Linked DNA regions of Mus musculus. The protein of the gene in region 2 binds, or shares a complex with, the protein of the main gene of each other region. Links are inferred from orthologs where the notes say so. Each region holds a gene or a part of one and is shown on either strand. Other genes may lie near its edges.

Region 1 (4,097 bases), on a different chromosome or scaffold from region 2:
CCTGTGTGGCTTCAAAAGAAAACCAGCTTAATGGGGAGAAGGACAGCGATTAAGTAACCATCATAAAGACAGCAAGCAGCTGGGCAGTGGTGGCGCATGCCTTTAATTCCAGCACTTGGGAGGCAGAGGCAGATGGATTTCTGAGTTCGAGGCCAGCCTGGTCTACAAAGTGAGTTCCAGGACAGCCAGAGCTACACAGAGAAACCCTGTCTCGAACAAACAAAAAACAAACAAACAAACAACAACAACAAAAACTAGCAAGTGAACTGACTGACCTATAGAGAAATTGGGGAACGTGACAGAACAAATTGCCACAAAGCCAATGAACTTTCCACACCTAACCCACAAACTGGCAATCTTCTCCTCTTTGAGGCCAACCACCTATTTTGAAAAGGTGGAGCTACTGAGATATAAAACCACAATGCCCAGGTATAGAGAACTATTAAACTAATAAGCCTGCCTAATGCTTTTCCCACATTTTCTAATAAAATACAGAGAAAGCAGAGGACTGAATCCCTCACCCCCAACTATTGGGAATAAAACCTAGCCTGCCCAAATGCCAGGCAAATAAACTACCACTCAACTAGATCCCCAGTCACAACCCTTCACATAACTTTTACTTTGAGGCAGTCTTTCTAAGTTTCCCAGGATGGCCTGGAACTTTTAAAAATCTTCTTGCACCAGCCTCCTAGGTGCCAAGATTAGAAGCATGAACTATGAAATCTGGATGAGAATTGAATTTCATCTTACTATTTCATCTTACTATTGCACTTAGCACAAAACAATAGATTATTTTACAGATAGCACAAATATAGAATTTACTTTGTTTAGGGCAATTGTGTTGCATTAATATTCCTATCTGATTTTATATTATCAAACCAACAAGGGGCTGGAGATGGTTAAGAGCACTGACTGCTCTTCCAGAGGTCCTGAGTTCAAATCCCAGCAACCACATGGTGGCTTCCAACCATCTGTAATGAGATCTGATACCCTCTTCTGGTGTGTCTGAAGACAGCTACAGTGTACTTACATATAATAAATAAATCTTAAAAAAAAAAAAAACAACAAGACGTAGAAAGGTCTATATCTGTTAACTAAAAAGACTTCAATACTCAAATTTTCCCCTTAACTTGTGTGCTAACACAAAGAACCGTCGAATCCCACTTTGTGGCCAAAGGGAGTAAATCTAAATTAGAGCTATCCCAAAAATGCAAGTCTGCTACAAGGCTAACCAGTGAGTCTCCATTCATGAGACTAGCTCAGCTCTAGAAGGAAAAAGCTTACACTTCAAACATCCAGAAAGCAAGAAGCTTGGTGCTGTTATACACAGAGACAACAGAAATCTCAGAATCACTGTTCATCTCATAAACGTCAAGGGCTAAGTGCATGAATTCCCTTAACATTGCCAAGACAACTGCAATAAGACAGCTAAGACAGTTAAAACTCAATGGTCCTTGACGAGGAAACAGTGGGATAATTATTCTTGGTGTTTATCTGCTAGCCAGGTCTGTTCTCATATCCTGGAAGATTTTGACCACAACACCAACTTAGAGAGCAAGAAAAGACCCAGAAGTACGTGTCTGACACTTTTTAAGTAAATCCAGGGAGAATGAAGTGCCATTCACTTCCAAGGTTGTTCTCACTGGCTTATGCCTGTTTGTTTGTTTGTTTGTTTGTTTTCTAAAGGAAAAAAATCTTCCTCCACTAATCACTTTGAAACTAGAAACTCTAGTTGCAGCGGGCAGTTTTTTTGGACACTTAAAACCTCTTGGACACAATTTGCCTGCTAGGCTTCAATTACGCGGGGCTGGTCACAGAAGGATTTTTTTTCTATCACCAAGTCACTTAGTTCACCACCTTCCACAAGGGAAGAGCACGGTAAAGATATTTTGGAAAAATGCCCAAGAAAGGAAAAAGCTGACCGGCTTCCTGAGGGTGTCTCCATCCCTCCCAGCCAGCCAGTCAGTACGTGGTGACTTCCTACCGAAGGCCACCAGGGGAGTATGGCCAAACCCGGCTCTAACACTGCAGGAAACGTTTCAAGCCTAAAAGCCACTTGTAGGATTAGCAGAGCCATTCTGAGTACCACTGCCAAATGATGTCCCCGTAACATCCCCATTAACTCATTGTCCCCAAGTTGCCTAGCCCTGCCCTGCCCTTGGGCCTGACCCTGGCGCCCAGCCCCACCCCGGGGCCGCAGCAGTTCCCCTTCCCCGGCTCCCAAGGCACACCCAGAGGCCTCGGTGAGCAGCTCCTCCTCCCCCACAATCCCGCTCATCGGTGGGAACCAGCTTGCTCAGAAGACAGCTCCCCCGCCAGGTTCACTCTAGCCCTCTCTGCCCACGTCCCTCCTGCAGCAGACCAGGGTTCTACGGCCCTCACCCCCGCCCGGGCCTCCCACCCGCCTGTCCCTCACCCGGCGGAGGCTGAGCGGGCGACGGAGGCACTGGAGGGCGCGGGCCGCTGCTGTTGATGATGTAGTGGGAGACGCGCGAGTTTTCGGAGACGCTAAGCACATAGTCCCCGGGGCTGGTGCTCGAGTCCCGCACCAGGAACACCCCGTGCCGCTGGCCCTGCAATAGCGCCACCGCCTCCTGCCGGCTCAGGCGGCCCCAGTACCAGCTACTCCGCTCCTCCGAGTCGAAGTTGCCCGCCATGGCCGCCTCCGCGCTTTCACGCTGGGCCGCCGCCGGCACGCGCGCCCCTCCAGCCCTGGCGCCCGCCGCCCAGCGGACCGGCTCCGGTGTCAGCCTCCCAGCAGCGCCCGAAATGGCGGCGGCGGCCGCGGGCCTTCCCCACCGGAAATGACGCGCCCTCTACCCGAGGGAGGCTGCCGGGAAGGGGACCGACGCCCGCCATTGGGAGAAGGGAAACGGAGTCCTTGGGGCCCTCAGTGCGCATGCGGCGTCCTGGGCGTCGCCGCCAGGCCCAGACCCCAACCGCGGAGGATGGGGAGGCGGAGTCTAGGTCTAAGGGGCGGAGCCTCAACCTACAAATTGACTGATCCGTGTTTGACAGATTGGTAGCGGCCGGTCTTTTCTCCCAGAACCTACAAGTAGCAACACCAAGAAAAGGACTGAAGTTAAAAAAGATGATGTGGTCCGAGGATGATAGTCGCCCTCAAAGCTCCCTGACTTGCTGGTCTTTTCCCCGTGTTTCCTTCGGTTTCCCCCGAGGTCAGCTGAAGTTCTTGTTATCTATGAGCAGCCACAGATACCGCATTTGCCGCGCAGGTGCAGTGCTGACCCAGACTGGCTTTAAGTCACTGAATTCACACACCTATGGGAGGGACCAGGAAACAACATCTGCTATGGGGGCGGGGGGGGGGCAGAAACACAAGGAAATCAACTAAGTAGTCCTGGAGAGACCCAAGGGCTGGGTAAAGTGACTCATGACAGTTATCCCAACCTCTCAGGAGTTGAGACAGGAGGATCCCTGTGAGTCTGAGGCCCTGTATTATAAAACCAAAACAAATAAGAGGAAGGGGTCCACAGATAAGATGACCTAGGGTGAATGGTAGGATGTTAAATGAAGTGGGGAAGGGTACTCAAGGCAAAGAAAACAAAATGCCCAGCCAGGCCAAAAAAAAAAAAAAAAAAAAATGGAGTTCTCTCTATTGGGGCTCCCATATCCACCAGCCAGATTTTTTTTTAAACTCTCAGTTGTAGCCAGGTGTATCTCCTACTTTTACTTCCTTCATGATCATCTTCATCTATCTCAAAAAATTAATAAAAAAATGGGGGAGGGAAGGGTTTCTCTGTATAGCTCTTGCTATCCTGGAATTCACTTTATAGACCAGGCTGACCTCGAACCCAAAGATCCACCTGCCTCTGCCTCCCAGTGCTGGGATTAAAGGTGTGTGCCACCATTGCATAGCTGTTACTACTGTGTTTTGTATATAGTGAGACCCGGTCTCACTACAAAACCAAAGTTATCCTTAGCCTAGTCAATAGCTCCGGCCTTCCAGAGCTCCCACCCATAGTCTGGGCCAGCCCTGGGAGAGACAGCAGGGAAAAGGGCCCCTTCCTTGTTACCAGTGACTCATCTTGATCTAGCTTAGTCACCAGGAACTAGCAGCAGAAGCCATCCAGTGTAAA
Region 2 (3,984 bases):
ATTTTCATTAAATACTCTTTCAGAATTTTCTTACAAGTATTTTTATGTTTGCTTAAAAAATGTTCCTGGTCCTGTTGCTTTATGAAAGCAGGTGTATTACTATTACCTGATGCAGAAAGGAAAAGACTGGTACAGTTTAGGCCCTAGCTGGGCATTTCTAAAGACAGTATTGAATGATCCATAGTGTTTTCCACGGGAGAACAATGCCACGGCAGACCAATGATCCATTATTAGCACAGACAGGCTAAGAATGGGCTTTCTGGGCCAGGTGCTGGGGTGCAAGCCTGAAATCCTAGGTGCTCAGCAGGCTGAGGCAAGAAAATGCCAAGTGCAAAGCCTGTCTCTTTACGTTTACAGATTATTGAGTTCACAGCCTGACTGGACAACTTGGCAAGTCCGTCTCAAAATTCAAAAGTTGGCAAGGGCCTATGGGTGTAGTTCAAGGCCCTGGCTTCCAATACCCAACATTCATTCTCTCTCTCTCTCTCTCTCTCTCTCTCTCTCTCTCTCTCTCTCTCTCCCTCCCTCCCTCTCTCTCTCTCTCTCCACCCCCTCTCCCCCTTTCTCTCTCTCTGTGCAATTCCCTGGAGCCAGATAGCACAAGTTCAAATCCTGGGACTACCACCTGCTGATTCTGTCATCTCAGAGATGTCACCTAACCTTTTTTGGTGCCTCAGTTTCTTATCTACAAGATGAGATAATCAGGGCCACCATAAGAAGTCAGAAAGTGAGGGCATGTGGAATGCAGACAATGCTTGGCCCACTAAGGCCATCTAACTGCTGCTGCTGTCTGTGCTGACCAGGCCTTCTCTGCACAGCAGCAGGGAGCATGCATTTGGTAATAATGGAAAATTCACCATACTCAATTCTCTTCCTGGCCTGTGAGGCCCAGGCCTCTGGGTGGGTGTCATGAACTGATTGATTGATTTAGGATGTAAGCAAGAAATGAAGGCCCAGATTACTTCCCCAGATTCTGGCAACAGCTCTCTTCCCCAGAGACAGACAGCACTTCCGTCTTCAAGACATAATTACACCGAGGCTAGCTTGATTCCGTCAGCTACACAACAAGAATTCCGTCTACCTTTTTGAACTCAGTGAACAGAAAGAGCTCCTAGAGAGACACCTTCCTGGAGAAGGCCTACAAAACCCAAGTGAGGACAGCACTCCTTTGGAACTTGGCAATGCTAGAATTCACCTTAAGGATTATGCTGGAATAAGAATGGATTTTTTCCCCCTTCTAAAACAAGAATTAAACCAACAGCTCTGCACTAAATCCCACATTACCCCAGGAACAAGCTGATACCTTAGCAAAGCTGTGACATGCCCCAACTCTGCAGTTACAAAAGTCCATTCATCTCCGCCTCCAGCGGCTCAAAATGGAGATAGTGCCTCTCACTAACTGGATACAGATGGGGAGGAGAAATGTGCGGAGAGTGTGGAGCAACTTGGAAAAAATAAGCAACGCATTAACTGAGGATGATTCTGGCCGCTCAGATGCCAACTCTGGGGACAAATAAACCATCTCCCTCCCTCTAAGTGGTAGGCCCTGAGCTCATGCCATCCACACCAAGCTCCTCTCAGGAATCCAGGCCCTGAAATCCCCGGAGGGGCTGAAATCTTACTGTGACTTATAGCGAAGTCCCTTATACTCCCTTCTAGCAAAGGGAGAACATCCTCTACCCGAGCTGGGCACCTAAGTCTGAGCTGGGTCATGTGGGGCCCTGTAGGTCTTTGAGTCAAAGACTTGGAAGGGGGGTCGGGGAAGCAGGTTAGATATTGAAAAGCCTTCAATTCTTTACAATTCAAAACAGTAGAAATCCAAATTGCTCTGAAGAAAACTTTACATTTTTACTCCTATCTTAACTCTTACATGAAACAGCCAGAAAAGCCAGGGCACCACACATCTGTGAGTGCTTCTGCCCTTCTGAAGAAGGCAGCAGTCCCCACAAAGGTCAGCTATACTCTAACAGGCCTGGCCACAGCCGAGTCCCCAGCACTCACCACTCACCCTTTTCCCTTGCCATCCTTTTAGACCCAAACACTAAAGACAACAGGAAGGAGGCATGGAATTGGAGGAGCAGGGTAAAGCAGGCAAAAGCAACAGGCTCCTGGCTCTAAGTTTATGCAAAGAACAAAACATGAGGGGCTCCCTCACCAAGCATCAAACTGGAAGCTCTCAAAACTCCTGGAAATACAAGCAAAACCATTCTTTCTCTTCTAAAAAGAGACAATCCCCAAGACCTCTTCATGGTCTGCAGAAAGGTGGGGGTGGGGGTGGAAAGTTCACATGAAATTCTGTACCCATAAATGGTAGAGCGGGATCCCTTTGTACGCGGCACTTGGTGTAGGTCCACCTTTGTGACATACAATTCCCAGTTGGCAGTGGAAACACCACAACGTGGGCTCACAAGGACCTTAAGGCCTGTGGCACTGACTTTTTCAAACTTTCTGGGCAGGAGCCACACTATGCGCTTGGGCCCCGCCAGCGCCAAAGCCGCGGCTCTCTCTCTCTTTCTGGAAGTCCGAATGAGCCACCAGCACCCGCAGAGGCCTCAGAGGGAGAAGACTGGGGACCTAGAACACACAGGGCACGGGCGGGCAGGACAGTCCTGGTGGGCCCCGCGCCCAGGCCAGGATTTACCTTCCAGGTAGCAGCTGGAGGACGAAGAGAGCCCCTTCTTGGATTTGCAGCCCACCAACTTCAAACAGATCTCCAACATGGTCCCGTGGCCACGGCGAAGGCCCCACCACCCCGGGCCCCCAGCCCCGCCAGGCCGCGCTCCCAGCAGGCCCGCGCCCAGGCCCGCGTCCCGCCTCCCGCCTCCCGCCTAGGCCGGTAACAAAGGGCCCAGCGCCCCGCCCCAGCCGTCCCTTAACCCCTTCCAGGCCAAGGGAAGGCTCCACGCCCTCCCCAGCTGCGTAGCTGCGCTGGCGTAGCCCCTGCCCCTGCCGCGTGTCCGGGAAGGTCGGTGGAAATGCAAATTCCTCTCAAGTTACCAGGACTGGTCTCGGGGAGCGACTGTGATTAAACCTAAAGTGGGTATCTGAGGAATGTGAACAGTCAGGGCTGGAACCCACAGGAATACCGAATACCGGACGCGGGTCCAACCACCCATTTAGACCTGGAGTTGTGAGTTTAAGCTTAGGGAAATGTCTCTATGGTGCGTGTTCATTGTGGGCTGGAATGGCGGTCCTTCCTGACCTCATTTTTACAAGAATTTCCCCTGTTTTTGGTGCCACAGGTAATGTTTGAATCCATTTCACGGTGAGTTTTTGTTTTCCTAAACGCTAGCTCGAGGTTACCAACAAGATTTTAACTAAGCAATGGTCACAGCAGTGGACTACTGGCACTAAGTTGGTGGGAAACAAGGACCCCAACTACAACAAATCTAATAAAAACTCACCCAAGTTCCAATGACAAGGGAAAAATAAACTTATGAAATAATGTCACATAACTAAAAGTCTGGTCCCCATCCTTGCACTTGAAGAGCTGACTGTCCCAGGATGGTTCTCTGAGAAGTGCTCCATGTGCCTTGGTACCCAGAGGGTGCGTGCACCTAATCCTGTGAGGAAAGTTATATCATGACCCAGATTCTTCATGTGAGAACAGACACTCCAGAAGGTCACATGGTGGAAACCAGAAGACTCAACTCAGTCAGGGTCTGCCTGGTTCCAAAGTTTGGTCTCTTGGCTTCTAAGCAGACTGTACCGGATAGCTAGATCCATGACAAAAGTTATCACCTGCCGGGCGTGGTGGCCCACGCCTTTAATCCCAGCACTCAGAAGGCAGAGGCAGGTGGATCTCTGAGTTCGAGGCCAGCCTGGTCTACAGAGTGAGTTCCAGGACAGCCAGGGCTATACAGAGAAACCCTGTCTCGAAAAGCAAAAGAAAAAAAAAAAAAAAACAGTGCCATGACTGTGCCTGTGACAGGCCTCTCAGCCAGGATGTCACACACTTTTCGTGCTAATCAACCCAAAAATGTG
Region 3 (3,550 bases), on a different chromosome or scaffold from region 2:
ATTGTTAACTTGACACAACTCAGAGTCACATGGGAAGAGGAAGTCTCGACTGAGGGATCATCCACATCAGACTGGCCTGAGGCTATGTCAGTGTGTGTGTGTGTGTGTGTGGACACTATTGATGTGGGACTGTCTTGACTGCCCTGCTGATTGATGTGAGAGGACCCAGCTCACCGTGGGCCACACTGTTTTCAGACAACCATCCTATGTTGTATAAGAAAGCTGGCTGAGGACCAGCCAGGGCAGACGACCTCCAGGGCTCTGGCCTCTGCTTCTGCTTGTGACCCTGCCTCCCTGATTGACTGCTACGTAAAGTATAAGCCAACCCTTTCCCTCCCAAGTTGTTTTGGTCACAGTGTTTATCAGAGCAACAGGGAGTAAATTAGTAGAAAGCCTAGGCTTGGGATATAACCTGTGGGGCGGTCCCAAAGAGGCGGGAAGCAAGCCTCTGCCTGGCCTTTCCAGGTGATCTTTTTTCTTTTTTGAGACCGTCTCATTCTCACAAAGCCTAGGCTGGCCTTGAAGTTTCGACGTAGGGAACGACGATACTGAACTCCTGATCCTTCTGCTTCCACCTCTCCAGTGCAGATAAGTGCCATCACACCCATTTCCTGTCATGCTGGGGCTAGAACCCAGCCTTCCCATGTGCTAGGCAACCAGTTGAACTACACCCTTACACCCCCATGGGATCTGTAGATGTTCTGCCAACACAAGTCAGAGAGTTTGTGAGCAGCCGTTGAGAGAGTCTGGCTTCCTAAACTTCCATTTGGCCATTTCCCCAGAGAGGCCTTCCTTTCCTCCCCAGCTGGTAGAGCCCTCTACGCTGCCCATATAATGCTTAACCCTCCAGCACAGCGCATCCTGACATCACAGGAATGTAGATGGGACATGGCCATTCTCCCTGCCTCACCCAAGGCAGGGGTTGAGGGTGGCATATACCCGCCTCATCTGAGGAAGTCCACAGACAGCCATGGTTGTGGGCCACTGAGAAACACCCGTCTGCCACAAAACCTTTCAGACTTACAGGATTGGAGACAGGATAGTTGTAAATCCCACTGTCCCCTCCCAATTCTCTAAATTCTCAGGAAATGAACAATGCCTGGGGCACATAGTAGGTGCTGTAGAAATAGCTGTACAATACAGAAAGGAACACGTTTAAGGCTGAGAGCAGGCTCCTCCCGCCTACTCCAACCTGTGGGACCTGATCTACAGGACAAATAGCGCAGATTGCATTCCTAAATCCTCAGAGAGAACGCCCCAGGCCAGGAGTAGATTATTCACGATGTTTAAGCTCTTACCTTTCTCTGACAGCCATTGAGGCTGGAGCCGGGGTGGGAGCTGGGGTCGTGGCTGGGGCAGGCACAGTAACAGGTGGCAACTCCTCTGAGACCTGTTGGCTACTGACCTTCTCCTGGGGGGCCAGGCCTGGGAAGATGCCTGATACATTGAAGTTGATATCTAGAGATGGTATGAACAGGGGTCAAGTTCAGAGCCTTGGCCAAGCCTGCCTGGCCTGGCCAGAGCCAGGGCTACTCTCTTTCCCTGAAAGGATGGGACTTCTCTTTGCTTCCTTTTTCCATGGGTAAGACAGAACCGTTCTCATTTCACAGATGAGAAACTGAGGCTCAGTATAGAAAAAACAGTTTCCTCTAAGCCACATGGAGAGTTTTGGGGGCAATCAAGGACTGAGGCTGGGCTGTAGTCCAGGAGTTGGTGGAAGTGGGGACTAGAGATGACAATAAAGGACATCACCTCCAGGGAAGAGGGTGTCTGCGTTCTGTATCAGCGCCTCGACAACACCCACCACCTGAATGGAGGACACAGAGGCAGCGTCCAGTTGGGCCTGGTCCCTGGCACAAAAGAGAAGCAAGAGTTTTAGTGACACACTAACATTGTGCGACCCTGCTGGGCGTGGTTGATGGCACGCGTGTAGCTCACATACCCCATCTCCCATTCCTTCACCTATGACAGATATCACTAATCGATTCTGGGCTATCGTTTTTCCCAGGTCTTGGATTGACTGCCTCTCCCCCTGCCCCCAAACAATTACAATTCAGCACATGGGATCCTCGTTGTACATCTGTGGCCTGAAAAGTAGGGGTGACTTTTCATGTATCATTGAACTTCACAGTTTGTAAACCATTTCCCATCTAATTCCTAAAGTAACACCTACCCCCTCCCCCTTAGAATTTATATCGTGTCTCCCCAACTGACAGATGCGGAAGTGACTCTCCAAGGCCCACACCTGAAGGTTGAGAGTGAGGCTTCAATCACTCCTCAGTGGTGGTTTTGAGTACCTGCACCAGGTCACCACACATGTGCCCGCCCCCTCACTTTACCCTGGTCCCTCAGGCTGCTCCTCATGGGAGCTTCAGATTTAAGAACTACTCAGCCCACTGCAAGGACAGAGAACGGAGGTCTGGGCAAATCAGCAGCTGGGGACTAGCTGGGGACAGGCTCCCTGGACTCATGGCCCTCACCCTTCTTTCTCGGGAGGCCACAGCAGGTTGGGTCCTAGGACAATGGCGATGTTGCTGGGTGTCATCTTGTTTACATCCTGCTCCTCTGCCAGCAGAGCCAGGAACTTCATCAGGTACCTGGGTGGGGTGGGAGAGCATCACAAATGCTCACGGCGTCCTTAAAGGCCCACGAACTCCCTACCCTAGGGCTGCACTCGGCATGGTTACATTTTTATCACTCAGCATGATTGATTACATTTTTACCACTCAGCATGATTACATTTTTACTAGTGAAGTTTCCCCCGATCTGTTTTTTTGAGCCAGAGAACTGCCTGCCCAGGGTCCCAGAATGGCAGGGGTCTGGGTCTGCAGCCAGGTAATATGGATTCACAGGCTCAGTAGGGGTTTCTGCTTGTTTTTTAAGACAAAGTCTCATAGCCCAGCTTGGCCTCGAACTCTATAGAGCCAAGGATGAGCCTGAAGCTCTGATCCTCATGCCTGTGTGACTGCAGGGATGCACCAGTTCACGGCCTGCTGAGGACCAAAACCAGGGTTTCTTCCTTTTTTGTTTTTTTTTCAAGGCAGAGTTTGTATAGCCCTGGCTATCCTGGAACTCACTCTATAGATCTGGCTAGCCTTGAACTCAGAGATCCACCTGCCTCTGCCTCCAGAGTGCTGGCACGGTAGGCATGAGCTACTGCACATGATTGGGTTTGTCTGCTCTGGTATCTGGTCTAGTGTAAAAGACAGGAACAGGACATCACAGCTAAGGTTCTGTGCACAGCATAAAGCGAACCCCTAAGCTTTGTTTGTGTGTTGGTGGGGGTGGAGGCGGGGGCAAGGCTCACCTGAGGTTGTTGAAGTTCTCTTGGGGTAGACGGCTGCAAACATCATGGAGGGCTTCCAGGCGGGCTCCTGGCTCCTTCAGGCTGAGGAGGGACAATCATCAATGCACCAATCCAGGACCATGTTTCCAGAGCTTTCGCTCCCCTCCCCACCCCACCACCTCCTCACCTGGCTGCTCTCATCCAGTCATCGTAGAGGTCAGAGGTCATCAGGGGCTCCGGCAGCTCCCGGAGATAGGACTTGAG

The links.
Region 1: the proteins of Abl1 (region 2) and Crk are in contact, whole or in part, in an NMR structure (PDB 1JU5), measured with the Homo sapiens proteins. The link is inferred for Mus musculus from reciprocal best matches to the Homo sapiens genes ABL1 and CRK. Residues at the interface, in NP_005148.2 of Homo sapiens: Tyr70, Phe72, Asp77, Asn78, Thr79, Asn94, His95, Asn96, Gly97, Glu98, Trp99, Trp110, Pro112, Ser113, Asn114, Tyr115; in NP_058431.2 of Homo sapiens: Pro44, Asp46, Asn63, Gly66, Pro67, Arg68, Pro69, Pro70, Val71, Pro72, Pro73, Ser74, Pro75, Pro80, Gly81, Ser83, Pro84, Ser85.
Region 3: the proteins of Abl1 (region 2) and Sh3bp1 are in contact, whole or in part, in a crystal structure (PDB 1ABO), measured with the Mus musculus proteins. Residues at the interface, in NP_033724.2 of Mus musculus: Tyr70, Phe72, Ser75, Gly76, Asp77, Thr79, Asn94, Glu98, Trp99, Trp110, Pro112, Asn114, Tyr115; in NP_001303613.1 of Mus musculus: Ala607, Pro608, Thr609, Met610, Pro611, Pro612, Pro613, Leu614, Pro615, Pro616.

The regions. Positions count from the first base shown.
Region 1 is NC_000077.6:75,677,984-75,682,080, reverse strand, and holds the start of Crk (adapter molecule crk), read right to left. Parts: upstream 2,823-4,097; 5' UTR 2,658-2,822; coding exon 2,417-2,657; intron 1-2,416. UniProt on the Homo sapiens protein: Involved in cell branching and adhesion mediated by BCAR1-CRK-RAPGEF1 signaling and activation of RAP1.
Region 2 is NC_000068.7:31,758,773-31,762,756, reverse strand, and holds the start of Abl1 (tyrosine-protein kinase ABL1), read right to left. Parts: upstream 2,819-3,984; 5' UTR 2,721-2,818; coding exon 2,642-2,720; intron 2,585-2,641; exon of another isoform or gene 2,366-2,584; coding exon of another isoform or gene 2,302-2,365; intron 1-2,301. UniProt on the Homo sapiens protein: Non-receptor tyrosine-protein kinase that plays a role in many key processes linked to cell growth and survival such as cytoskeleton remodeling in response to extracellular stimuli, cell motility and adhesion, receptor endocytosis, autophagy, DNA damage response and apoptosis.
Region 3 is NC_000081.6:78,906,261-78,909,810, reverse strand, and holds part of Sh3bp1 (SH3 domain-binding protein 1), read right to left. Parts: coding exon 3,474-3,550; intron 3,389-3,473; coding exon 3,308-3,388; intron 2,598-3,307; coding exon 2,481-2,597; intron 1,851-2,480; coding exon 1,753-1,850; intron 1,459-1,752; coding exon 1,299-1,458; intron 1-1,298. UniProt on the Homo sapiens protein: GTPase activating protein (GAP) which specifically converts GTP-bound Rho-type GTPases including RAC1 and CDC42 in their inactive GDP-bound form.